Linked DNA regions of Oryctolagus cuniculus. The main gene of each other region encodes a partner of the protein of the gene in region 4 in a complex. Links are inferred from orthologs where the notes say so. Each region holds a gene or a part of one and is shown on either strand. Other genes may lie near its edges.

Region 1 (3,997 bases), on a different chromosome or scaffold from region 4:
GACCAGTGAAGCTATTTGGGAATGCATTTCTTTTTACTTTACAATCCTAAAGCATTATTCTTTTCATGTTTCCTACGATTAGGTCCAAAACTGCAAAACAAACAAACAAACAAAAAACAACTTCTTACACGTTTAAACTGTCTGATAAAGCTCAAAATCAAGGAGTCATACCCAGAGTTAAAAGCTTTTGGAGGGGGCTGACGCTGTGATGCAGGTGCCGGCACCCCATATAGGCACCGGTTCAAATCTCAGCTGCTCTACTTCTGATCTAGCTCTCTGCTATGGCCTGGGAAAGCAGTAGCGTATGGCCCAAGGCTTTTGGCCCCTGCACCCACGTGGGAGACACAGAGGAAGCTCCTGGCTCCTGGCGGCCATTTGGGGAGTGAACCAGCAGATGGAAGATCTCTTTCTCTCTAATTCTTTCAAATAAATATAATAAATCTTAAATGAAAAAAAAAAAGCTTTTGGAGGAACACACCTAGATAATTCCCAAGGAAAATGTGCTATCAAGGCATAATATTTATGAGGCATGGTACACACAGCACAGTGCTAAGGCCAAGTTCAGGTGTATAAATATGCTGCTCAATTTTATAGCCTCTGTAATGTCTTGGACATAAAGCTCAATAAATACTGAGTTGTACCCAATATAGTTTGGCGTGAAAGAAGCTGTGCAGACACAATGATAAATAAGATATTTTTATAAATACAGCAATCTTACCTCTTTAGAATACATTAGCCACAAACTGTGCCTATATCTGGCTTTTCTCAATCATTTCTACCATCTCCTGAAACTACTTCCTGATGAAAGAACCAAGCGACTAGTGAAAAACTTTTCAGCACAGTTCACTCCAACGTGCTGGCTGTGAGAACTGACTGAGCACCATGGGGGTGGGCTGGCTGAGTTAAAATAAAACATCAAGTACAAACACAGAACAATGTTAGCTACCATTATTGGTTTTCATTCCAACATAGCGCTCATAGGTCTCAGGGGTCAAGTTGTTCAAAGACCCATGTGCACCTCAAGTTGTGCTGGTAGAGTAAGCACTCAGATGCATGCTGGATGAACGGAAGAATCATCACTCTGAGAGGGCAAAGGGCCCCAAAAGCTGTCTATCCTATATGCTCATCACTGAAAAACAGACACACACAAAAAGCTCAACTTCTGAAAAGAAATGTACCAAAGATGTAAGAAAACTGTACTTTCTTTAGACGTTGCTGTAGTAACAGAAGTGCTGTTGATGTACAGCCGAAGAGGACACTGTCGGCATCAAGTAGTTCCACGTGCAACTGCGTAACGACTGCTCTACTAGTAACAAAATCAGATACCCGCGAAGTTCATCTCAGAAACCAGCACGCACGCCTGTAACCTGTACCCAGCACCAGGTCTTGCCCATACAACAGCACTTCAAAGAACACACAGAGAATGGATCACAGATGTGTTTAGTCTGGTCCAAACGATTTTGAAATCTGTGTATAATTTTTCACGATACACGCTTTCCATGAACTTCTTGGAGAGCCCTTTAGTAGTGGCTCATGGGTGAACGAACGCACGTACGCCACAGAAGACGGGACTAACAGGCGAGTGCTCGCAGAGAGGGCCTGTTTTCACAAAGCAAGGACCGTGCAACCTGGGTCTGGCAAGGTGAGTAGGAAATCATGAATCAGCGGCTCTGGCAACAGAGAAATTAAACGAGAGACAAGGATGGAGAGAGCAGCGCGCAGCAGCAAGCAACTTGGGGTCACACGGGCAGCAGGCGCAGCACCAGCACCCCAGCTTGGCACGCGTGGGGATACATCGGGGCAGTGAAGCCGAGGGCCGCAAGCCCAGTTTCGGGGTCACTGTCACGGCTGCGGCAAGAGATGAGGGCAGGATCACAGCACCCAACTGCGACGAGGCTGTTCCAGACCCCTGTTCCGAGCGCTCCTCTCACTCCCGGCCACGCGCTCACCGTCTTCCCCTCCCTGCATACTGAAACTGCGTTAGGCGCCTTACTGCACTGACTCTCCCTTCAACAGAGGCTCGCGTGCAAGGTCTTCATCTTCCGGAAACCCAAGACCAGGCTGCGTGTCCCCTGAGGTCATCCAATGAACTCTGTCTACTCCCGCGTCCGCACACGCAGCCAGGCGGGATCCTCTCCCCGAGGGGCCTCCCTGGCCGTCTAAGGACAGAGGTGCGCGTCTGCCTCGGACGTCCACCGCGCCTAAAGCTCGGACTTCCACAAATCGTTAGCAAGTGTCACGCGCGACTGTAAAATAAAACCGACCCCTGCGGGTAGCGAAGCCAGCGGGCACCGGCCAGAGAGGATGGGCGGAGGGTGCCAGCCAGGCGGCGCAGGCTCCGGGTCTGCCCCACCCTCGTGCGGGGAGAAGCCGTTTTCCACCCACAGCACAGCCGCGCACCGGGATGGAGCGGCGGCCGAACGGCCGGTACAGGCCCGAGCGGCGGCGGCTCGAGCGAGAGGAACCTCGGTCCCCGCGGGGCCTGCGCGCCCATTCCGCGTCTCCGCCCGCCACCGCCCCTGGGCCTCGCTGCAGCGGCCGCCTCCGCCAGCGCCCTCGAAAAAGAGAGAGAGTTAAAGGGCCAGGTACCTGGGTGCCGGCAGAGATCATCAAGGGCCTGCGGAAGCGAAGTTAAGCCGCAGGCTGCTCAGGCCCCGCCACAGCAACCCTACCCGACCCCACCGAACTCCAGGCGCGCGCTGATAATGTCACTTCCGCCAGTTCTGTCCGCGGCGTCAGCAGGCTGCACGCGCTGAAGGCGCGGCCATGGTAAGTGTGGGCGCGGGATCCTTCCGGTTTCTCCTGGGCGCTGGGCTCAAGGGAAATGAGGGGCGGAGCTCGTCGGAGTTCCGGGGCGGGGCCTCCTCTCCATAGCCTTTTCTAATTGGTGCTTTCTGGAAGTAAGGAAAGTTAATAATTGAAAAAAGTTTTTTAAACCAACTAGAGGTGTAACCTTGGCAAGTTAACATTTGCCTCGGGGTCTTTTTATTTTAGGATGAGTTCTTTCTAGTCTAAACTTGTTTTCTCTTTGACATTTCTTTTTATTTTGAAAGGTAGACACAGACGCGGAGGAGTCCCCTCCTAGTGCCCAGAAAGCCCTGGCCAGGCCAGTGTCCCGCGTGGGTGGCGAGGACCCAGCCGCGGGAGTGACGCCCGGCGTCCCCGGGCGACGGCGTCGTAGAGCGGCCGCGGGGCCCAGGAAGTAACCGCGTGGGCGGTGCGCGCGTGCTCCTCGCCGCGGGTGTGGGCCGCTCCGCAGCACGCGGGGCACCGGGTTGCGGATTCGTCGGGGCTTTCATTCCGCTGGGGCCGTCTTAGCAGGCTTCGCACTGTCGCCACGCGGCCGTCGTGGTCTTCCCGGCCGCTTCCTTCTGTGGTCACTTGGACGCGACCACGGGGGCAGTTTGTGCTACCAGTGAGGTCCTGAGCTCCGGAATCCAGGACAGTGCCTGGCAGTGCGTTGACCTACGGAGACCAGAGCGAGTACAATACTGGACTTTGTCGAAGACAAAGGCCATCTCTGGCCTTGTTCTCCTTTGCAGCAAAGCACGGGAGAGTTTTACACAAGCCCTTTAAAAAGTCTTCTCTGGTTCCAGAATTGGATGTGACCAGAAGTTAGCCAAACTGGTTAGCCAATCGCTTGCTTGCTCGCATTTATAATGGAACAAATAAGAAAGTGCATAAAGACTTGCCCAATTAACAAACAGTTGTGTCAAGTGACTACTGCCGGCAGGACACCCTGCCACCCCTCGGTGTGAAGTCTGCGTCCTGCTCAGCGTCCTCCTGCGTGGAGGATCTGCTCCGCACCTGCCACTGCTTGCAGTTGGCTCCCTGTGACCCCACTCGGGTCCTCTGCTCATCCTGCCGAGGTGACATTCATTGCTTCCAGTTTGGGGCCACTGAGAGCCAGGCTATGGGAACGTCCCTGTGCGTGTCACTGGCGTGGGAGATGCCGCCGGGAAACCTGTCCGCGGATCCCAAGAAGTATGGGAACGTC
Region 2 (3,500 bases), on a different chromosome or scaffold from region 4:
AGCATGGATGGGACCCTCACGGCAGCAGCAGGGCTGAATAAGGGCAAGGCCATTTCTTTGGGGGGCAACACCAGCGGGGTCGGTGGAGCTTTCATCTTATCGTCTCTGCCTTTATCTTTACCTTTCTCTTTTTCTCTCTTATCTTTATCTTTTTTGCCTTTTTCTCTGTCTTTCTTCTTATCTTTATGTTTCTCTTTCTCCTTCCTCACAATTCCATCTTTCAATCTCACTTTGGAATCAACTTCTTCAAATTCTTTTATTTTAAACTTATAGGGATCTGAGTCTTCATCTTTCAGAAATTCCTTCCATGGATACTTGGCTTCTTTGCTGGCTTCCTTTTCCTTCTCTTTCTCCTTCACTTTCTCCTTCTCCTTATTTTTTTCCTTGCTTTTGTCTTTCTCCCTCTCCTTATCTCTCTGCTTTTCTTTCTTTTTCATTTTAGTCTTTAGTTCCTTTTTCAACTTCTTCTTTACCTCCACTGAGGAAGGCAGTTTGGGTTTCTCCTCATATACCTTGTGGAGAGGTTCGGGAGTGGGAGGAGAAACTGAAGGGGAAGAGGTGTAAGTAAAGTTGGGAGGCATATTTGCCGGTGTTCCCATCTTTGCTTTACGCACAACCTCATCAATCGAGGCGTCCATTGTCCATGAGTTATCAGAACTTGAGGTTCCACCAGAAAGAGGCAGAGGAGTGGATCCTGACTTCGTGAAATTGTTTGAGGAAGTAGAAGCTTTTGGAGTGGCACACTCCGAACCTGAAATTCTCTTAGGGCTGGTAAAAATATCTCCTTCGGATTCTGATCCAGAAGAAAATGCAAAAGGATCTGGCTCTCGTTCAGCACAGGCTCGTGCAATCACAGCATCAATAGAGTCATCTATTGTTTTATCTGTGACAACAGCCTTTTTCGGCTGAATCTCACTGTTCAGTTTCCCAGCATCGGGGGGTGTTTGTGCTTGTTTCACCTGAATGGTCTCTTTATTGATTTTTTCACTTATTGTAGCTGAAGGAGTCCTATTTGGTGTTTCAGGTCTGACAGGTGGTTGGGGAATATGAGTCATAACCTTGGGGCTCTTGGGGCTCTTGGGGCTCTTAGAACGTCCAGGTGATTTCTTTTCTTTGGATATAGTTTTTGGTGACCGAATAGGACTTCCAACCATTGCTGGGGACTGGGTGGTTTTAGGTGACTTAGTCTTCTGCCCTGGAGAACTTGTTTTAGTCTTAGTTTTAGGAGTAAAAGACTTTGCTTCTAATGGTTTTGCAGTTGGCATTTGTGATTTTGCAACTGGAGCCAACATTGGTGGCTCTGGTGATGGAGGTGCTAAGTCTGTATTGTCCTGTACATGGACTGGAGAAAGCATTGGTGGAATCTTTTGAGGATTTATTGAGCTGAGTGGTTCTCGAGCTTCCAATAATACTATATCTAAGTTGTCTCCTTTCGTGCTTAACAGTCGTGGTCGCTTCATGACTGGCATTTCTTCAGCTTCAGGACTATCCAATGGTCTTTTACCCAAGAAATTCTCATCATTAATAATTTCCTCCTCCTCCAGTTCATCATCTTCTTCCAGGGGAACTTGCATGGCTTCTGCTGATGTGCCTCCATCAGTGGGTACCTGCTCTTCTTCTTCCTCTGGCAAAGGATGAAAAAAGAAGTATTAATGGAATGTAACACAGTCTAACAAATAAAAACAATGCTTCAAACAGGCTTCATTGGAAAGACAGAAATTTACTGACAGTATTCAAAGACTAAATCTTATTCAAAGACTAAGATTTCAAGGATTTTCCAAAGCTGTGTGCCATCAGTCTTTTAAGAGTGCCATGTGACAGCAGATTATAAACTAGTTATTTCCCTTTTAAGTAGTGTGGCTCTAACTTCAGGACCTGGAGTTCGCTAAGTATTTCCAGTTTGTCTTCCCCTGCTTCCTTAATTAATTCTTTTCCTAACTTGAGTAAATACTCTCCTTCTCTTTCCATGCCCCTTTCATGTGTAGACACATGCGTGCCCCTCTCTCAAAGTCAAATGACAGAAAGGCATAATTTTAAAGGGCTTCTATAACCAGTTTTGATTTTTTGGACACAATTCACATGCCACCTTGTATCTTCTGTTTTATTTGCTTGGTATCAGACAATATGGTCTAATGGAACACATTCGGCTTGCCCAATGGTGTTTCAGATAGAGTTCTGGCACAACAGAGCAAAAGATATTAGGCACTCTCTTAACCTCTTTGAGTCTGTTTCTTGACCTTTCAAAAGGGGATAATGTTACTTGCTTGCCAGCTTGACTGAGATGTTGTAAAATCAGATTATTTGTTATTATTAACAAAGCATATAATGCACAGTGTTAAGGGGTGAAAGAGCTAATGGAATAAATCAAAAATAAATCATGACCTAAAACAGCTCACAGATCAGCAGGGGAAATAATATATGTGTACAGCACATAGCAAGTGATTAGTGCCATAAATAAAGCGCCACAGCAATTCAAAGGAGAAGCAGATTACTGCAATGCCATGCACGTGCTGAACACTTTGATAATTATGTGGAATCCAGGGTGTTATGGAGCATTTGGGGCTGTTGGAGGCTGGGAGCTGGAAATCCAAGATGAAGGGTCAGATGACAAAGAGAAGGAGGTGAAACACAGGAAGTATATAAGCACCAAGGATCATTTAATTTGTCTGGAAAGCAGGGTATAAAATGGGTAGGAAAGGGGAGGAGTAAAACGTTTAGTAACATTGGATTCAGACTCTAGAACTTTGGAATTCTGCAAGAATGAACAAAGATCTTTTTTCTTTTGGTAGTTTGGACCTAGTGACAGTTTTTACAAAACAGAGGAAAACACCAAGCATGTGTATTAGGAAAATTATACTGGCAGGAACACACAGGATGGCTAGGGATTCTAAGTGGGGGGAGTTAGGGGTTTTTGAAATGATGTAGGTAAGAGGCAATAAGGGTCAGGACTAGAATAACGGTAATAAATAGGAAGCAATGAAGGCCAATGATATAGTAAAGATAGAATAGAGTATGATAAATGAATAGGTGTAAGAGTTGAGGAAGAGCTCAAACACAATTTCCAGGTGCTGAGCCCTGCTGAGTAATAAATGCAGTCAATAACAGAAATAGGAAATAGTGGAGTCAGAGCTGTGGCGCAGCAGGTAATGTGGGCGCCTGTTTGAGTCTTGGCTGCTCCACTTCTGACCCAGCTCTTTGCTATGGCCTAGGAAAGTAGTGGAAGATGGTCCAGGTCCCTGGGTCCCTGTACTCGTGTGGGAGAACCGGAAGAAGTGCCTGGCTCCTAATTGGCCCAGCTCCAGCTGTTGCAGCCATTTGAAGAATGAACCAGCAGATAGAAGACCTCTCTCTCTCTCTCTCTCTGCTTCTGCCTCTTCGTAACTCTGCATTTCAAATAAATAAATAAATAACTTAAAAAAAAAAACAGGAAATAGAGAAGGATGATGATTACTAGCTTAATCTCTAGATACAGTTTTTGATAAATATTTTACTCAGTGATG
Region 3 (3,957 bases), on a different chromosome or scaffold from region 4:
GCGTCTTCCCTTTCACCTGCTGTTAAATCGGAGACGTCCTGACTTTTGAGCTGGGAAGATGAAAAGAACTCTATTATATATTTGTCCTACTTTCCAGGCTTGGCTAAGGTTAAGACATCATCCTCATAACACAACAGATCCACTTATTGTGTAGTTTTTTTGTCCCAGAACTGACTGTTCCACCCAGTATAAGATACAGTATCTCTCCTCAAGGAAGGTTAGTTAGGCTGTAGAAAGAACCAGTTAAATAATCTAGTTTTCCAGTTTAGCTATGATCACAGCTTCAGTGTCTGTATACAAGGATAAAGAAATGGCCAAGATCATGAAAACCACTCTCTCCATGGACTCTCTCTCCTGCTCATTCCTTACAGGGGATGTCACCAAAGCCCTCTCCAGCCAGCCAGCTCTTCTCCTCTGGATCCAAAGATATTTTTACTATTGACGATTCAATTTAGAAAGATTATTAAAAAGGAGGCCCTGGAGTGAAAATCTGAGATGCTGGTTGGGATGTCCATGTCCCCTATTAGAGTGTCTGAGCTGTTTTGGGCATTTGGAGTGTGAATCAGCAGATAGGCCATTTTTTTTTTCTAATAAGTACATTCTTTGAAAATCAAAAATATGTAGGGGCCAATGCTGTGGCATAGTGGGTTAAGCTGCTGTCTGCAGCACTGGCATCTCATATGAGTGCCAGTTCAAGTCCTGGCTGCTCTACTTCTGATCCAGCTCCCTGCTAATGTGCTTGGGAAAGCAGCAGAAGATGGCCCAAAGATGGCCCAAGTCCTTGGGCCCCTGCACCCATGTGGGAGACCTGGAAGAAGCTACTGACTCCTGGCTTCAGCCTGGCCCAGCTCTAGCCACTGTGACCATTTGGGGGAATGAACAGGCAGATGGAAGCTTGCTCACTCCCCACCCCCCACCCCCAACTTTGTGATTCTGACTTAAAGAATATTAATAAATATTTTACATACTTACATGCATTATGTTACATATTTAAAGCTAATCCACAGTGCTGGCCCCAACATAATCAATTTTTATCGAAAGGCAGAGTTACAGAGAGAGGGAGAGACAGAGTTCTTCCATCTGCTAGTTCACTCCCCAATTGGTCACAACCACCAGGGCTGGGCCAGGTGGAAGCCAGAAGTCCTACATGGGTGCAGGTGCTCAACTTGGGCCACCTTCAGCTGCCTTCCCAGGCACATCAGCAAGGGCCTAGACTGGAAGCGGAGCAGCCAGAACTGAACCAGTGCCCATATGGGATTCTGGGGTTGCAGGTAGCTTAACCTGCTGTGCCACAATGCTGGTCTTTGATTAATTTTTTTTTTTTTTTTTTTTTTTTTTTTTTTTTACAGGCAGAGTGGACAGTGAGAGAGAGAGAGACAGAGAGAAAGGTCTTCCTTTGCCGTTGGTTCACCCTCCAATGGCCGCCGCGGCCGGCGCGCTGCAGCCGGCGCACCGCGCTGATCCGATGGCAGGAGCCAGGTGCTTCTCCTGGTCTCCCATGGGGTGCAGGGCCCAAGGACTTGGGCCATCCTCCACTGCACTCCCTGGCCACAGCAGAGGGCTGGCCTGGAAGAGGGGCAACCGGGACAGAATCTGGCGCCCTGACTGGGACTAGAACCCGGTGTGCCGGCGCCGCAAGGCGGAGGATTAGCCTAGTGAGCCGCGGCGCCGGCCTAATTTTTAAAAATGTTTCAAAAGCATCATAATTCTATCCTCTGCTGGCTCCAAACTTCTATATTGTAGTGAGCTCCTTTAGTGGACCATGCTAATTATTCAATTCCTTTGCGTCCTTGAGACCCATTTTAACTTTTCCTTCTTCAGCTTTGTCAACTGTCTTCTCTTTTTCTAAAAGCTTACCGTGTATGTTTTGGTGACAAGGCTATCCATCTAACGTTCAGTCCATGAGCTCTTCAGTTCCTTCTGCCTCTAAGATCCTAGAAATTCTCTCTTTAGAAAAGGAACCCACAGGACGCTGAGATTCTGGTCGCGATTGTTGCGCGGTTAGGCAACCCTGCTGAGCTATCCTGAGAGCACAGCTGATGGATTTGGTGTTTTTACGTTATAGAAACCCCTGGACATTAGCACGGAGGACACTGCAGCAGCTGGATGAGAATATGACTTCAAAGTCTCCCGTTAACAGATCTGATCAACTCTGCCTCCTGTAAAGACGAAAGCTGTACTTAAACAACAATTAACTAAGAGGACCTATAGTGCGGTGAAAGGCGCGCTGGGAATCCTGGATTTTGGCTCTTGCACTAAGTCTCGGGATGACAGTACCGACTTCATCAATAGGAAAACCAAGAAGCTATTTAAAATTCACTTAGATGTAGCTTTAATCCCGAAAGGCAAGGACTAAACATATTAAAACCTAATGCTCGAGTCTCTGGAACCAAACCAGCACCACAGTTTTGTTGCTCCTCCCACACTCCCCGGACGGCAGATCTAGAGGGAATCGTGGCGAGCTCCGGGTAACACAATCCCGGCGTATGCCTCCAACCTCAGTCACACTTCTCTGCCTACCTCGCCTTCCTCCGCTGCCGCTTCTTTCAAGTCCGCGTCTCCGTCTCCGTCCGCTTCCTCCGGGATCCCGTCCGTGTCCGCAGTCCCCGGGCCCCCAGGAGCAGCAGTCGTCTCGTCTGACTCCCCTGCTTCCCCACCTTTGTCCGCAGGAGACTCGCGGGCATTGTCCATCACAGCTAGAACGGCAAGGGGAGGAGATCGCGGTGCTGTCGGCCGCGGAGCTCCGGACCTCGCGCGGCACAGTGGGCGCTTACTTCCTGTCGTCGCACCGCGATGTCGTCACCACTACTGGTCCTCGGAAGGGCCATGGGGGGCGCGCGGAGCACCTGAGGGCTCCGTTTGAATCCTGGGTGGGTGGTGCTGGAGAGAGAACGCTGAGGGTGCAAAGTCCCCTGTGGATCCGTCCTTGGAGACCAGCACCTGTGAAGAAGTGCAGTTGTGCTTCCTGAAGGGTTTCTTTTTCCTTTCCGTCGTTCTAAGAATGCTTTGTCAGTTAACCTCTTCCTCAAAGTTGGAGGACCTGGGAGAAAACTGCTCCTTTTGTACGCGGCTGTCGCGTAACCTTGGGGTAGCAAACTTTCAGGCAGGGACTCAACCTCCTTTATTTCACCTGGACAGACTGCGGGCCTGACTTTACATTGAATTGCCACCATTTCCCCTCTACGAATATTTCACGAGCACCTTAAAAAAAAAAAGTCCTATTGCTTGAGCAGTGTTTATCCAACCCATTCATTCACTCCACGAGTGTTGACTGCCTGTTTCTGAGTCCGGAGCAGCGCTAGTACAGGGAAAAAACATTTTCTACCGAATTAAATGATTTTTCCAGTTCGCCAGTGCTGAAAATCGGGATAGGTTTCTCAAGCCTGACTTCTGTTACCCACTCAGTCTCATCATGAGGAATCCCTACAGGGTGGGAGGTCTCTCCTTTGAGCGCTTCACTTTAATGAGCCATTTCACGGATTGGGATGGTGAAGGGGCTAGGATATTTCTGCTTTTAAAATGTCCTGCCTTTTTTCATTGAGGCACGCGGAGGGAGGGGCAGGGCGTTTTATTCACCTCTGTATTACCAGGCTCCCGCACCTGTTACATACTGCTTTATGCTTAAAGAACGGACTTGGAAATGTAGGTGCGTATTACCATATTTCTCTCTTTGTTTCCACACCGCCGGGACGAATTACCGTATTTCCTGTCCCGTGAGCTCCCAAAACCTTTGGAAAAGAAGCGCACTTTGGAGGCGTACACAGGTGGGTCCCCTTTGTCCCTTTCCACTTCTTCAATGGGTACCCACATGGCACTGCCCCATTGACCCCCAAGTCCTGTCCTGACACACCAAGGTCCACCTGCACAGGGACGCGGAGCCCCGCCCAGCTAGGTGGGCAAGGGGGCGGGGCATGGGGGCGCGGTGACGCGTGACGCCGGATCCCGGAAGTGACGCGC
Region 4 (3,268 bases):
GGAGTGCAGTGGAGGATGGCCCAGGTGCTTGGGCCCTGCACCCCATGGGAGACCAGGAAAAGCACCTGGCTCCTGGCTCCTGCCAGGATCAGCGCGGTGCGCCGGCTGCAGCGGCGGCCATTGGAGGGTGAACCAACGGCAAAGGAAGACCTTTCTCTCTCTCTCTCTCTCTCTCACTGTCCACTCTGCCTGTCAAAAAAAAAAAAAAAAAAAAAAGGGTAAAGCAGGCCTTCATCTACAAATACTAGAGTAGTTTAGAATGGCTCTGTATCTCATGTTTTCCAGCCTCCTGATGGAGCAGGTGGATTAGAACCTTAATAGAATGCAAAGATGACATTTCCCAATTTCTGCTATGTTCCTTTTTTTTTTTTTTTTTAACCCACAACTGCTTCTTTACCTGCAAAGCAGGACCAAACTGACCAATCATTAAACTCTACCGAGAAACCACCTCAAAAGATTATCTGACTCCTATTACCAATGAAAAAATCAAGACACATAAGTTGAAAATTAGTCGCTTTTATTTATGTTAGAAACCTTATGAAATTATTTGCATCTCTACATGTGTGAAACTGCTTTGATTTAACTGAGAAAATAGTTAGGGAAACATATGCAAACCAACTTCATTGCCTCTACACTAGGTTCTTACCTATCTCAGAAGGCACCACATGGCAGCAATAGCAGCTTCCGGGAAATGGGGAAACAGCAGCAAAGTCCTGCAATGCAGCTGTGAATATTAGGGTTCAGCTGTTCATTCCACTAACCCTACAACTTCCTAACAATTACATTACTGCCTAGTCAATCCTAATTCTATAGAATGAACACCTAGCAAAGTGCTTCTTGAAAACAAGATAATTTAAAAAGAACTTCTAGCATTAGAAGGAACGGGAACTACTGCAAAATCTTAAAATCCAGAAAAAGTGATGAAGATTTTCTTAGTGTGGAACCATCAGGTTCAAAATGATCAAAATTCTTCTTACTTCTCTAGGAGTGACTCCAGCTCTTCCTGCAAAGAGCTGAGCTGCTCCTTTTCTCGGTCTTCCTTTTGTTTTAACTCATCCAGCACAGCCTGAAATCTGTTCTTGAGAGCCAGGTTTTCCACCTTCATGATGAGATCCTCCTGTCGCTTGGCCCTGTCCTGGGTCTCCTGGAGCTTGCCTTTCATGTTGTCAATCTGCTTCTGAATGCCCATAACCAGCTGGTTGGTCCCTTCGTTTTCTTGGTGCTGTTCATCTGACTCATTCAGCTTGTCCTGCAGCTGTCTCTCCAGGTCTTCCTCAGTGTCGATGATGTTTATATCTTCTTCGTCCTGGTGCTGGGTGTCATCTTCATCCTCGCTGCTGCTGCTGAGGTCATTGAATATCTCCCGAAGCTCATCGTGCTCCAGGGAGTCCTGGCCCTGCCTGTGGCCAGACATTCCTGGGGAAGAGATGTCAAGGCCTTGATTCTCCGTCTCTTTTGTTTCATCTTCAGCAATTATCTCCCAGCGAGTACTGACAGCTTCCGCATCTGTACTCAGCAACCGCTTCACTTCTTTCTCCACGTCTGGAGACTCAATATACTTTTTCTTTGCTGTCTTCCGGAATCTTCTCTTTCTGACATTCTTTAGAGGCAGAGTAATTCCATGGTTCCAGACGAACTTTTTCTCTTTGTCCTTATCCTTTTTCTTGCTTGCTTTGGGGTCAGCAGCAGCAACTGGCTCCTCCACAGGGGGATAAAGATCACCATCAACTGTGGACACGAGCATCTGACAGATATCAGCAGTCTTGTAAAAGGTTTTTTTATCGATGGTTTTCAAGCTTTCCATAACACACGGCAGATCCACCAGTTTTGAGGCCAGAGGGACCCGGTCCACTCTGACAATTCCATGACGCCCATCGGGGTGTAACTCGATGGTCAGTCTGTCTTTCAGGTTGACATGCCCCGACTGCACTGCCCTCCTCACAGTAGCAGCATATTCTGGAGGCAGGCGCAAGATAAACTGGCTCTCCAGCTCATGAGGGGCATCATCTTTGCTCTTACTCATCTTCACTTCTTTCTGACTCCCTTCTCCTAATAAACACTTGCTGCACTGAAAAGTTTCAGCTACTGCAACAATTTAAAAGACCAGTTCCTTATGAATTAAAATCTAACAACAGAAGGTTCTATGCAGAACAGTAGCTAAGCATCTGTTTTGTCTTAATTTTTAATCAAGCCACAAATCTTTTCTCTAAATATGCTGCACTCCACACCCGCTGTTTGTTACCGACACACTGGCTTATTCAGAGAATTAAGTCCATTTAAAGCCTGGAGCTGCAATGCCGAGTTCCAGCCTCTAGGTGCCGCCTCCAGACAATGCAGACAGAGCAAGCGGGCGAGCGAGCGAGCAGGAAAGCAAATGGCGGCTCCTGCAGAATGAAGACGGCACAAAATTAGGACAAGCAGTCAACACCGACCCAAACCCTCCCGAAACAAGCATAACTGAAAAAGCGGGACGCAGCGAGCTGCCTTTGCCTCGGGTACTTACAATCCAGTGACGGTTATAAATTCAGCTTCGCGCCGGGCGCAGGCGGCGGGGGGAGGAAGCCACTCGCTGCAAAGCGGCGGGGAGCCTCTTCTCTCGCCGACTCCTTTGTTCTTCCTGCTGCTCAGCTGAGTGATCCGCTACTGATTACCAATGCTTCGGTCCCGGCGGGAAGCGCGAAATTTCGCCGAGACGCGCTGCGCAGAGCCACACACCGGAGGCTCCGCAGGCGTCTGCCTGCAGCCGCTTGCAGAGCTGGCTTTAAAGCCGCGCTGCGTCACGGCGCGGGGCGGGAAGCGGCCGTGAGTGACAGCACGGCCGGGCGGAAAGACGGCCCGCCCCGAGCGCGCGCAGACGCAGTCGCGGCGCTGCGATTCCGGCCGGGACTCGTTCTCTGGATCCAGGGGAATTGTTTTAGGGCGTGAAAATGAAGTTTCCTGCCGACCTAGTTTGAAAATAAGAGATAACGATTGCAGGAAGGTCACAGAGCCTCCCCCTGCTGAGACAGCATTTGTACCGGACCGGCAAGCGCCGAGATAGCGTCTAGACTTCGGGGGTCAGGGCATGTTTGCAGAAAGCGTTTTGCTTCGGGAAACGTCTCGCGTGTTCCCCAGGAGTTACCCATTCTGGTGTCGGTGCAGGAATTTGTAACTAACCACAAAGTGGATTTAAAAGTTCCCAAATCAATGGCGTAAGGAGAGCATGCTGTCCACTGTGTGGTTCTGTGTGTATTTTAATTATGAAAGTGCCCGGAGGGGGACCGTGCTT
Region 5 (3,942 bases), on a different chromosome or scaffold from region 4:
TATTGGACACTTAGTATCTTCTTTTTCTGTAGGCTCCGGATAGAGCACAAATTCCATAATAGGAATCTGTCTCTGCTTTTGTACCCTCTCACAATACCTAACAGTACCAATAATTCCACTAGCCGACTGCAAGAAAAACAAAAACAAAAACAAAAACAAAAACCCAACACTAAAGCATCCCCTTACCTTCTCGAGCTAAATCACCCACATTAACGTATTTCAGTCCTGATCTTGATGCAAGTTCTTTGCCTAGTGTGGTTTTCCCAACCCCTGGAGTACCTGTAAGACAAATCACAGAAAAATGCCTATGAAATACTATTATAGACTTCAACTACTTCCACCCTTTGTAAGGTTCTTAACAACTTTCCTAGTAGGAAAGCAACCAGATGTGAATATACAAAAATAGTAGTAAGCAACCAGATGTGAATATACAAAACCAACTAAACAAAATCTCCCAGGGCAGGTGTCTGTAGAGGTTAGGATGCCCACCTCCCATGTTTGAGTTTAGACTAAGTTCGGTATTTGGCTCTGACTCCTGACTTCAGCTTCCTGCCAATGCAGATCCCAGGAGGCAGAGGACTGCTCAAGTATCCAGGTAGCAGGACTGAGCTGACTTCCTGGTTTCTGGCAGCACAGGCATTTGGGGAGTCCATCAGTGGATGAGAACATGCATGAGTGCTCTCCCGAATTAAAAAAATTTTTCTGCAAAAAAGCTCTGGATGTCAGAATCACGCAATGTTTCTCCATGGGTGGGAATACAAATTCTGACTGCTGCCACCAACGTCAGACTGCCCACAATAAAATCAGCCACCTCAAATCAATTACTGTCATTTATTTGCTTTTATTTTAAAAGATTAAGAAATTGTTCATTGGCCGGCACCGCAGCTCACTAGGTTAATCCTCCGCCTGCGGCACAGGCACTCCGGGGTCTAGTCCCGGTGGGGGCGCCGGATTCTGTCCCAGTTGCTCCTCTTCCAGTCCAGCTCTCTTCTGTGGCCTGGGAGTGCAGTGGAGGATGGCCCAAGTGCTTGGGCCCTGCACCCCATGGGAGACCAGGAGAAGCACCTGGCTCCTGGCTTCGGATCGGCGCAGCGCGCCAGCCGTAACAACCATTTGGGGGGTGAACCAACAGAAGGAAGACCTTTCTCTCTGTTTCTCTCTCTCACTGTCTAACTCTGCCTGTCCAAAAAGAAAAAAAAAAAAAAAAAAAAAAAATTGCTCATGGAACAAACCTTAGTCTGGGAACCACTGTAACTAGTCTTTTGCATACCTTTCCGAAGAAGTCCTATGCATGTGTGTCTATACACAGAAGTAGGTGTAGGTAGCATATCCTATGTGCAAAAACACATGCCACTTGTATTGCCTTTTACATAAATGGTAATACTATGCATTGTTCTATACCTTTCCCCTTTTACGTCTAAAAGAATTATATTCCAAGATAATCAAACGCATAATTTTCAGCTTCTCAATGTTTAATGACACTTTAATGATTACATCTGAGCATTATTAACATGTATAAATCCAATCTCCACATGCAGGACATTTAACCCCTGTCTACTATATTATACCAAGTCTGAACCCTGGACTCAACTTTCATTAAAATATTCACACCAGATTTTTTTTTTACAGCATTAATCAGGACACTAATCCATGCAAATCAGATGCTGCAAAATCTTCATCATAATGAATCTCACAGGCTAAAAACTCACTAGCTGAGGGGCTACTGCGCAGCACCTAGGAACAATCTTTGTGGGCTGCCAAAAATGTCAAGTTTCGTTAAATGTTGAAGGGAAAAAACCTTTTCAGGGTTCAGGGCTGTGGAGTAGGGGCAAAGCCGCTGCCTTCCACTCCAGCACCCTGTACGAGTGCCCGTGGTGTCTGGCTGCTCCACTTCAGTCCGGCTCCCTGCTCAGGGCCGGGGGAAAGCAGTGGCAGACGGCTCAACTGCTTGGGCCCCTGCCACCCGTGCAGGAGACCCGGGTGAAGCTCCTGGCTTTGCCTGGCTCAGCCCCCGCCACTGCGATCCTGCCGGGAGTGAACCAGCGCAGCAGATGCGAGATCTGCGTCTCCTCCCTCCCTCTCCCTGTAACTTTCAAACAAACAAATCTTCAAAAAAAAAAAAAAAAAACACAACTCTTCACAATCTCTTAATACTTCGATACGCTCCATAGATTCCCCCACGAACGGCGCAGGACGCTCTCAACGGACACGTCTCAGGCCTAGAGGCCCAGCGTTCTAGCCGCTTCGCTGGCCACAGCGGGTCAGTGTCCGAGACCCGCAGGGGCTCACGAGCAGCCGGGGGCTCCACAGCGTGCGCTCCCATCACAAAGGGAGGCAGGCGCCTGGACACTACCCCAGCACACGGCCGCAGTGACTGCACGCGCTCCGCCACGCCGCCAGCACCCGCGCCCACCCGCGAAGGCCCACGACGCGAGGCCTCCGCCATGGCCGACACGCTTCCGCACGTTACCTCCGGGAAACCCCAAAGCAACCCGACCAGAGACGCCAAAGCTGGCTTTCCGAGCAGAACACCAGGGTCTCTATTATAAAGATAACGGAGCCTGCCCACACCGGAGCGCCGGGTCCCGGCCGGCTTCCCCGCGCCCCGCGGCCGCCCCCGCCCCGCGCCGCGTCCGCAGGCCCCGGCCACCGTCGCGCCCCGCGGCCCCCGCCCGGCCGCCCGCTGCAGCCCGGCGCTCCCCGCCCGGCGCCCGGAGCCCCCCGCGCGTCCCGTCCCCGCCGCGCGCCCTGACCGGTGAGCAGAATGTTCGGCAGCCGCATAGTCGTCCCGGCGGACGCCCCGAGCGCCTCCTCTGCGCGCGCCCTACGCACCGCGAGGAGGAGCCGGAAGGGGCGGGCAGCGCCAGCGCCGGCGGCCGCGGGGTCCTCGAGGCCGTGCCGGGCGCCCGCTCCCGGCCCAGCTCCGCAGTCCCAGCCGCCGCCAGCGGTTCCCTGGGCTTCTGTGACACGCTTCCGTGGCGTGAATGGAGGCCGGGAGCCAGCTCGCTGCGCGCTCTGAGTCAGGCAGTGCGCTGGATGCCTATGTCGCTCGCGCGCCTGGGGCCCCCGCCCTTCGCGCCGCGTCGCCGAGGCGCCGACGGGTGTGGAAGGACCCCGGGAGGCGGGACCCCCGAGAGGCTCGGTGCCGAGCCCGGGGAGGGTCGGGTGGCCACCCCAACACCGGAGCCGGCCCCGCGCTCCTTGGCTCCTCTCCGCCCACGAGGGAGGGGAATGCGGCTCCCGGAAAGTAAGGCCGTCGCGGTTGTGGCGGTGTTTTCTGTGTGTGTCCTGGACGCGCGAGCCCATCTCTGCCTCCATGCCCTCCCGTCCCGCCTGGGACGAGAGAGACGGGGTTGCGGTGCCCCGGCCTGGAGCGGGGACCGACGAGCTCAGCCTGGCTGCCGGCTGGTTGCAGGATGGCGCTGAACGAATGTCTGAGCTCAGGACCGGCTGTGCAGCGCGTGGGGTGGTGGTGGGTGGGCTCGGGATGGTCCTGAACGTGTCTTCTGCCTCTGACATCTAATTTCAGGAAACGGGCATCGTCGCTGACAGTTACCTGCTTTTCCAAGGAGGTAATTGTCGGTCTCGCTTTCACTGAGCGGCTGCAGTGCTGACTGTCGGCTACATTGAATCGATTTTTTTTTTTTTTTTTTTTTTTTTTTTGCTACTGTGCATTGCTGATAGCGGTCTACTCTCAGAGGTGAATGACTGCCAGTGTGTGGAAGTGTGCCTCCTCAGATAGTCCAGTACACCTTCCCAGGGTACAGTTTGTTGGCCTTGAAAATCGTTCCTCCTGGCGGCCCTAAAATGGTTGAATTCACTGCTTTCCATCAGTATTGACGAATCACGCAAATCGGAAAACAGTGATGCCAAGACGTTTTCTGATGGCGTGCTCAAAGGAAGTTCTAGAAAAACTGACAGTGAGATTCAACTGTTTTATTC
Region 6 (4,111 bases), on a different chromosome or scaffold from region 4:
TAAAAAATACAATGTGGCAAAATGCTGAAAATTGTTAAATCCTGAAACTAAAATGAGAACTTATCAAAAAATGCCCAAATAAGAAATAAATATAAAAGAATCTATTAATATGTTTTTTTTATTTTTTTTATTTTATTTATTTATTTTTTTGACAGGCAGAGTGGACAGTGAGAGAGAGAGACAGAGAGAAAGGTCTTCCTTTGCCGTTGGTTCACCCTCCAATGGCCGCCGCGGCCGGCGCGCTGCGACCGGCGCACCGCACCGGTCCGATGGCAGGAGCCAGGAGCCAGGTGCTTTTCCTGGTCTCCCATGGGGTGCAGGGCCCAAGCACCTGGGCCATCCTCCACTGCACTCCCTGGCCACAGCAGAGAGCTGGCCTGGAAGAGGGGCAACCGGGACAGAATCCGGCGCCCCGACCGGGACTAGAACCCGGTGTGCCGGCGCCGCAAGGCGGAGGATTAGCCTAGTGAGCCGCGGCGCCGGCCTATTAATATGTTTTTAACACGTAAATTCTCAGGCATGACAACACAGGAGGTATAATAACAATGTGGTTGCTTGTACCTAGATGTAAATTTACCTCGAATGTAGGAACTACAAATGTAGGCAGATTCCAGGTGAGCACTATTTAAATTACAAGCGATATTGCCTTTGGTGGCAGTATTTCCTCTTAATAAGTTCCAAACAAAGCAAAATGCAACAGATCACCAATTTTGAAGAAGTAACAGTCACAGGAAATCCAATGTTCATTAAAAGCATGGGAAAAATAGTTTATATAAAATAATATTTTCAGTCATTGAATGTTCAGCAGGACATAGAGAAATCGTGTGTATTATTGGACTTTTTTATCGTGTGGCATCATCCCTTAGGTTGCAGGATATTTTATGTCAACTCCAGCCTCTTACTGCGTGTTCTCATTGTTAAAACCCAAATTCTTCTCCAGAAAATTTTAAATCGTCTCTAAGGATAGCGCCCCCTTGAGAACTAGTAGTGAAATATAGTACCCCACAATAATTAACAAAGTGCTTGGGATCAATAGTGCAGGCGTAACTCATTGCACTTTAAAATACACCCCTCAGAGCAAGACCGCGGGATCGCCCTCCTACGCTCCAGGTCAGGAAAGGTGGATTCAACACGCACAAGGAGATGTAGGGTGATAAGAGGATACACACTGCCTGGTGCATTTCTTTCAGTTTGCTAAATTTTAGTTCCTTCCTCGGGATTACAGAACCCAGAGCTCACGCTGCTACCCTACAGACCGTCTCTCTCAGCGGTCGCTAGGCAGCTCCCCCTCCCAGGCGTGTTTGCGGGGACCCGGCCCCGCCCCCTACGTCACCGGAAGTGACGCAACGGAAGTAGTAAAAACCCGCTGAGAGCGAGCCGGCGCGGCACAGTAGGTTGTCGGGCTAGTGTAATGGCAGATGAGGAAGAAGATCCCACCGTGAGTGACCGCCTTTGTCCCAATCCTCCCTTTCGCTCAGGCTTAGTGACGGAAGCAGAGTTCAGAATGGGGTGTTTTCCTTAGTGAATTCAGTCGAGAGAGTTCGGGGACCAGTTGTGCTTGTCTTTTCCTTCAGCTTCATGGTTTTAGTACTCCGGGGCAGGACGTGAAGTAGTGGGAAGGTAGCCCCTTTCCCTTCGGATTCGGGCTGAATCTGCTAGACACTTTGTGAAACTAGACGATCGTCAGAGCTAATCACTCGTATTTGTTGGTGCTCGTTAAATGAACCAACAATCTAGCTGCTAACAGAATTGGATATTTATTGTGAAGTGTTGGAGAAATAACGGACCACAAATCAGAAGCCTGGATTTCAAAATCTCCATTCTCACCGAACAAGTTATTTAACTTTCAGCATCGGTTGTTCTTGATATAAAATAAGGTTAAAACAGATAAGGAAAGGTTTTAGCACTGTATAAGCAGGTGCTTAGTTAAAATTTTTCCTTTTTTGCTGCAGGGAGGTAGGCTTTGATTCAGTATCGGTCCTTGAATGGCAACACTGGCTAGCAGTAGACCAACTTAGTTGGTTTTAAACAAAAAGAACTTGCGGCTGTTAAAAGGCTTACGTGTCTAGGCAGGATTGTTGTGGACAGTGTAGAAACCATTTTTGCGGGAATTGAAATTTTGACTAGGTAGTCTCTAAGGGCTCTTTAGTGCTAAGTTATCATGATTTTTTAGTGCTTGCTTTTAAGCGTTTTGGCCTGATATTAGTGTTAAAAATGAAAGCAAGTTATTAAAATATCAAATGCAATGCAATCACTTGACATTTCTATATATACATTTTAACTTCTAGTTTGAGGAAGAAAATGAAGAAATTGGAGGAGGTGCAGAAGGTGGACAGGGTAAAAGAAAGAGACTCTTTTCTAAAGAATGTAAGTAGTATTTGACAGTGATTTTATTATAGATCATGCAAACTTTTGGACATGTCCTTTGGAATAGATTTATATTCTGAAAATGTTTGCAAGGATAATATTCTCAAAATTGCCAGTAAAGTTCAATTTAATTTTTGCCTTTTTTTAAAAGATTTATTTTTATTTTATTTGAAAGAGTTACAGAGTGAGGCAGAGTCAGAGAGAGAGGTAGGTCTTCCATCCTGTGGTTCACTCCCCAGATGGCCGCAATGGCTGGAGCTGTGCCGATCCGAAGCCAGGAGCCAGGAGCTTCTTCCATGCGGGTGCAGGGGCCCAAGGACTTGTGCCATCTTCTACTACTTTCCCAGGCCATAGCAGAGAGCTGGATCGGAAGAGGAGCAGCCAGGACTAGAACCGGTGCCCATATGGGATGCCAGCGCTTCAGGCCTGAGCTTTAACCTGCTGCGCCACAGCACCAGCCCCTCAGTTTAATTTTTGAATCACAGATACTAACCCCAGTTTAACGTATAATTGTGTTTTAAATTGTACAGAATTTAAGTGAGGGAATATTGTTATGTCTTTCTGTTAGGCTGTCACAAAAACACACCAAACTCCGGAGTAAGGGAAAGGGTTTATTGAGAAAAGCCAGCAGACCGGAAGGGTGAGGTGATGAAGGGAAAAAGGGAGAGGAGAGTATAAGAGAAAGAGACACGGAGAGTAGAGGAGCTAGTGAGGAGAGAAGAGAGACGAGAGGAGCCAAGAGAACAGGAGAGAAGAGCCAAGAGTGCCGCCTGTTCAGGAACAGGCCCTTTTAAACTTTGCCAGAGGGCGGGCAGGGAAACAGGAGCAGCGAATCCCGTTAGGATGGGGGTGGAGCTTGACACTGGTGGTTGGGCCATGTGGCTACATGGCTTTCAGCAATGGCTGTGAGAACCGGGGCATAGGATGTAAATCATGGTGTAGATAGCGCCATGGATAAAACTGCACCAGTTTCCTAACAAATATGATCAGTGTTTCAATTCAGGACAAAACAATATACCTCCACGTTTTCCTGGCCCTTACCTTTGCAACAGTAGAAGCAGGAGTTCTTTTGACTGTGGGCACTGAAACAGGTGCTGAGGGTAGGGGCTAAGTTGAGACTTTGGACTAAGGGCAGTGAACAGGGCAGGAAGGTGAGGAACAATGTGAGACATACAATGGCATGAAGATAATATAATGTGTTAGTGCTTTGTCCCACTCCCTCAGTAGACAGATTTTACCCTTTTTAGACAGCAGCATGAAGAAAGGAGATCTGTTCCTACTGCTGATAGTCCAGGACAACATTTAAAAGTCATCATGAGAATAGCTTTTTATCTCCCAGTACGGATTCCTTTATATCTATATAGCTGGGTATTGAGAGATGAGACAACACAGATTTAAGAATACCTGTTTATTAAGGTTGGGACAGATACGAGCAGTTTACATGTGATGTTAAAACTGCACATCAGTATGTCTTTTTTATTTGAAATTTATTTGAAAGGCAGAGTGACAGAAAAAGACAGAGATCTTCCATCTGATGGTTCGCTCATGCCCACAACAGCTGAGGCTTGGCTAGGCCAGGCGGATGCCAGTTGCCCAGAATGCCATTTGGGTCTCTTACATGGGTGGCAGTGGCCACAGTACCTGAGCCATCACCTGCTGCCTTCCAGAATCACAGCAGCAGGAAGCTGGATTCGAAGTAGAGTAGATGGGAGTCAAACAAGCACTCTGATGTGGAATGTCAGCC
Region 7 (3,500 bases), on a different chromosome or scaffold from region 4:
AGTGACATCCACTGCAGTGAGGCCCTGCCAATGGGGGAAAAAATGTTCCATAGTAAATAATACTGTTTTAGGGTGGGCATTGTGGCACAGCAAGTTAAGCCACTGCTTGAGATGCCCACATCCTGTAACAGTGCCTGGTTAGAATCCCAGTTACTCTATGCTTCTGATCCAATTGCTTACTAATGTGGTTGGGAGGCAGAGGACGATGACCCAAGCAACCGAGCTACCACCAACCACACAGGATATTGGACAGAATTCCTGGCTTTCAGCTTTGGCCTGGCCTAGCACTGACTATTGCCAACTTTTGGGAAATAAACCAACTGATCAATAACTCTATCTTTATGTCTCTCCATGCTCCATCACTCTTCCTTTTAAATAAATGTCTTTCAAAAAAAAATACTATCTTAGAAGAAAAATTACAGTCACATCTTAAGAGAATATAGAATGATGGCTGTTTTTCTCAAATAAAACATCATTTGAGCTTTTGTTCTATAAAAGCATTTACTTGGAGAGCATGTCATTACTGATCCCTTTTTTGCCCTCCATATTTAAGAGTGCACAGGAATTAAATGTTAATCACTTTTGTACTTTATTAAATATATCTTTCACAACCTATTACAAAGAGACATAAAGACATAGAATTCCTAACACATAAGCTTATATAAGTATTTAAACCAAGTGTAGAACAGATGGGTCATAATTTCCTCCTGAAACGTTAGCAGAATTCTGATCAGTGAAATGGAGTTCAAATATAAGTGAGATTCTGGTATTTACAAGTTCCTAATGGTTTTTTTTTTTTTTTTCTTTTTCTTTTCTTTCTTTCTTTTTTTTTTTTTTTTTTTTTTTTTTTTTTTTTTTTTTTTTTTTTTTGACAGGCAGAGTGGACAGTGAGAGAGAGAGACAGAGAGAAAGGTCTTCCTTTTGCCGTTGATTCACCCTCCAATGGCCGCTGCAGCCGGCGCGCTGCAGCCGGTGCATCGTGCTGATCCGAAGCCAGGAGCCAGGTGCTTATCCTGGTCTCCCAGGGGGTGCAGGGCCCAAGCACTTAAGCCATCCTCCACTGCACTCCCGGGCCACAGCAGAGAGCTGGCCTGGAAGAGGGGCAACCGGGACAGAATCCGGTGCCCCGACCGGGACTAGAACCCGGTGTGCCGGCACCGCAAGGTGGAGGATTAGCCTAGTGAGCCACAGCGCCGGCCCCTAATGGTCTTTTAAACATTGCTTTCTATCGACTGTGCACAGCATCCAATTCTCCTTTCCTAATTACTGTAATTCTAAATTATATCAAGAGTTCAAATAATAAAACTCCATTTTAATTAACACATTTAACTTTGTCTTAATGGTAAATCACAATTTTAAATAACTCTCCAACAAGAAATTGTCCACTTATTTTACTAACCTGGTAAGCATTGAGGAATGTATAGAAACAAATAGATGGTAAACAGTCTGGTCCAAGGCGCACTCGTTTGGTGGTTTCTTTCATATTCATTATCTTATCCAACTTATCTGAGTCTTTCAACTCAGGAAGAGGGATTCTGTGAAAGAAAAACAGGCTGGAAATCACCCTGTGAACATTCACAAACTTGAGCTCTCTAAAACATACTGCCTCACACCTCCAGACAAGTTCCCAAGGCCTTCTGCCTCACCTGTTCTGAGGTGGAGCATTGGGATCTTGCTTTTTACTTTTGGATCCAACACTATCTTTTCTAGGCTTCTTCTTTTTAGGTTTTCCTTCTTCATTTTCTCCCTCTTCATCCTCATCATCCAAAGGCACCTCAATTTCTGGTTCTTTTAATAAACCAAAAAATACCTACAAGTTAAGAGAACCCAACATTTTAAATTTTTTGTTCAGCAATATACCTTTTCACATCTTGACAGGATGAATCACAAGTACAGAACAGTAATTTATAATCTGAAGCAGGGCTCTGTACTTATTTGCCAAGCAGCAATTTTCTCTTTTTTCCTTATAAACAGAACCCTGATTTAACTGGAGCAGCAAGTGCTTAATAATTTGTGTTCCCAGGCTCCTTTACAGTTAAGAATGCAATGCCCATATAACATAATTCTGGCCACCAAATACACACAGAAACATCGTGGTTATGGTTTCAGAGGGGAACATAAAAACCACATACACACACTTTTCCTAACACTAAGGGCGAGACCCAGCAGGGATATATGCCTTTCATCCTCCCTCTTCCTTTTTAGAACACAGCTGCAATGCTGGAGCCACAACAGCCGTTCGTGAGCACAAAGAAGCAAACCACATGCTAAACACGGTGGACCAGAAACTAGAAGGAGCCAGGGACACCCATGGCATGATGGGGCTACCATGGCAGCATTGGAAGGCCTTCCTCTAGATTCCATCTTACATGAGGAAAAACCTCTTGGGTTTTACACTGTAGTCAGGTTTCTTTTAAATGTAACCATTCCCCACATCTCATATACTTATACATTGTCCTTAAAATATGAAACTTTAAACACAGGATAAAAGTATTCCCAAACTAGCTACAAGAAAAATTTTATTTAGATGGAAATGCTACAATTTTTCATCATCTGCATTATATAGTTCTTAGTTTTATCCCATACCTTTGATTTGTTTGCCTCTCGTTTAGCCTCTCCTGCCAAACTTCCCACCATCGCATCTATCTGCTGCTTACTACGCGGCATCCCATCAAAGATGTCAATGTAGAGGTGCTCCTGAACTATGTTCCATATCTGATTGTTCTGTTTCTCCTGAAGATGCCTCTTCAAGAGTTGGTACGAGTCACGGGAAATACGCAGAACAAATTTACTTGTTCGAAAATCCAACATGGTCTCATTCCCTTTCATGTGTTCCTTTTTGGTAAGACTAGATAATACTCGTAGGTCATCCTGGTAATAACATTCCTGATCTCCATGGAACCTGTTTCAGTGATTTTAAAAAGTCATTTTTCAATGTAATCATTAAGGGATCCGCCTCTCCCCCAAATATTTATAAACCATCCCAGAATATTTTCAATGTAGTAGTCTGAATAATCCTGAACCAATAAGCTGTAGGAATAGAAGGAATTCATTTCAAAATCGTTATAATTCAGTTTCTGAATTCATCCTAAAAATGACCGATTTAATAATCTAATGAAATTATCAAATATATAAAATAGTCTTAAATAAATACCATAAATGAATTAATGATACTGGTACAAAATTTCTTTTGAATGCCACCTTTGGTAGACATTTGGAAATGTCAGTATCCTTGCTTTACTAAATTTTATGTTTTATCAAAACCTACTTTTTAAATCTATTACGGAAAATTTCAAGCATACATAAAAGTAGAAAACAGTATAATGAACTCAATACATCTATCACAGCTTCTCAACAATAATCAATATATGGCATTTTCATAAATCTACTACTTTTAATCATTTCCTATGTCCTTAATATCAGACATTGATTAAATACCAATATTTTAATATTATGACTAAAGAACAAACTGTGACACCAAACAATAAGCATGTTCATTT

What was found.
Region 1: TAF7 (region 4) and TBP share a complex: the UniProt entries of both Homo sapiens proteins name them as parts of the TFIID-containing RNA polymerase II pre-initiation complex. The link is inferred for Oryctolagus cuniculus from reciprocal best matches to the Homo sapiens genes TAF7 and TBP.
Region 2: TAF7 (region 4) and TAF3 share a complex: the UniProt entries of both Homo sapiens proteins name them as parts of the TFIID basal transcription factor complex. The link is inferred for Oryctolagus cuniculus from reciprocal best matches to the Homo sapiens genes TAF7 and TAF3.
Region 3: TAF7 (region 4) and TAF11 share a complex: the UniProt entries of both Homo sapiens proteins name them as parts of the TFIID basal transcription factor complex. The link is inferred for Oryctolagus cuniculus from reciprocal best matches to the Homo sapiens genes TAF7 and TAF11.
Region 5: TAF7 (region 4) and TAF9 share a complex: the UniProt entries of both Homo sapiens proteins name them as parts of the TFIID basal transcription factor complex. The link is inferred for Oryctolagus cuniculus from reciprocal best matches to the Homo sapiens genes TAF7 and TAF9.
Region 6: TAF7 (region 4) and TAF13 share a complex: the UniProt entries of both Homo sapiens proteins name them as parts of the TFIID basal transcription factor complex. The link is inferred for Oryctolagus cuniculus from reciprocal best matches to the Homo sapiens genes TAF7 and TAF13.
Region 7: TAF7 (region 4) and TAF5 share a complex: the UniProt entries of both Homo sapiens proteins name them as parts of the TFIID basal transcription factor complex. The link is inferred for Oryctolagus cuniculus from reciprocal best matches to the Homo sapiens genes TAF7 and TAF5.

Annotation. Positions count from the first base shown.
Region 1 is NC_091436.1:55,085-59,081, forward strand, and holds the start of TBP (TATA-box-binding protein), read right to left. Parts: upstream 2,801-3,997; 5' UTR 2,590-2,800; intron 1-2,589. UniProt on the Homo sapiens protein: The TFIID basal transcription factor complex plays a major role in the initiation of RNA polymerase II (Pol II)-dependent transcription.
Region 2 is NC_091444.1:75,310,815-75,314,314, forward strand, and holds part of TAF3 (transcription initiation factor TFIID subunit 3), read right to left. Parts: intron 1,625-3,500; coding exon 1-1,624. UniProt on the Homo sapiens protein: The TFIID basal transcription factor complex plays a major role in the initiation of RNA polymerase II (Pol II)-dependent transcription.
Region 3 is NC_091436.1:134,549,826-134,553,782, reverse strand, and holds the start of TAF11 (transcription initiation factor TFIID subunit 11), read right to left. Parts: upstream 2,801-3,957; 5' UTR 2,692-2,800; coding exon 2,521-2,691; intron 51-2,520; coding exon 1-50. UniProt on the Homo sapiens protein: The TFIID basal transcription factor complex plays a major role in the initiation of RNA polymerase II (Pol II)-dependent transcription.
Region 4 is NC_091437.1:28,859,471-28,862,738, forward strand, and holds TAF7 (transcription initiation factor TFIID subunit 7), read right to left. Parts: upstream 2,024-3,268; coding exon 974-2,023; 3' UTR 501-973; downstream 1-500. UniProt on the Homo sapiens protein: The TFIID basal transcription factor complex plays a major role in the initiation of RNA polymerase II (Pol II)-dependent transcription.
Region 5 is NC_091445.1:90,326,944-90,330,885, forward strand, and holds the start of TAF9 (transcription initiation factor TFIID subunit 9), read right to left. Parts: upstream 2,801-3,942; 5' UTR 2,754-2,800; exon of another isoform or gene 2,681-2,753; intron 2,463-2,680; exon of another isoform or gene 2,447-2,462; coding exon of another isoform or gene 2,155-2,446; intron 280-2,154; coding exon of another isoform or gene 187-279; intron 1-186. Other genes in the region: AK6 (adenylate kinase isoenzyme 6), read right to left, coding at 187-279, 2,155-2,446; cell cycle checkpoint protein RAD17, read left to right, coding at 3,037-3,247. UniProt on the Homo sapiens protein: The TFIID basal transcription factor complex plays a major role in the initiation of RNA polymerase II (Pol II)-dependent transcription.
Region 6 is NC_091438.1:61,355,587-61,359,697, forward strand, and holds the start of TAF13 (transcription initiation factor TFIID subunit 13), read left to right. Parts: upstream 1-1,311; 5' UTR 1,312-1,411; coding exon 1,412-1,438; intron 1,439-2,288; coding exon 2,289-2,367; intron 2,368-4,111. UniProt on the Homo sapiens protein: The TFIID basal transcription factor complex plays a major role in the initiation of RNA polymerase II (Pol II)-dependent transcription.
Region 7 is NC_091446.1:26,638,826-26,642,325, forward strand, and holds part of TAF5 (transcription initiation factor TFIID subunit 5), read right to left. Parts: intron 2,903-3,500; coding exon 2,587-2,902; intron 1,811-2,586; coding exon 1,647-1,810; intron 1,536-1,646; coding exon 1,400-1,535; intron 25-1,399; coding exon 1-24. UniProt on the Homo sapiens protein: The TFIID basal transcription factor complex plays a major role in the initiation of RNA polymerase II (Pol II)-dependent transcription.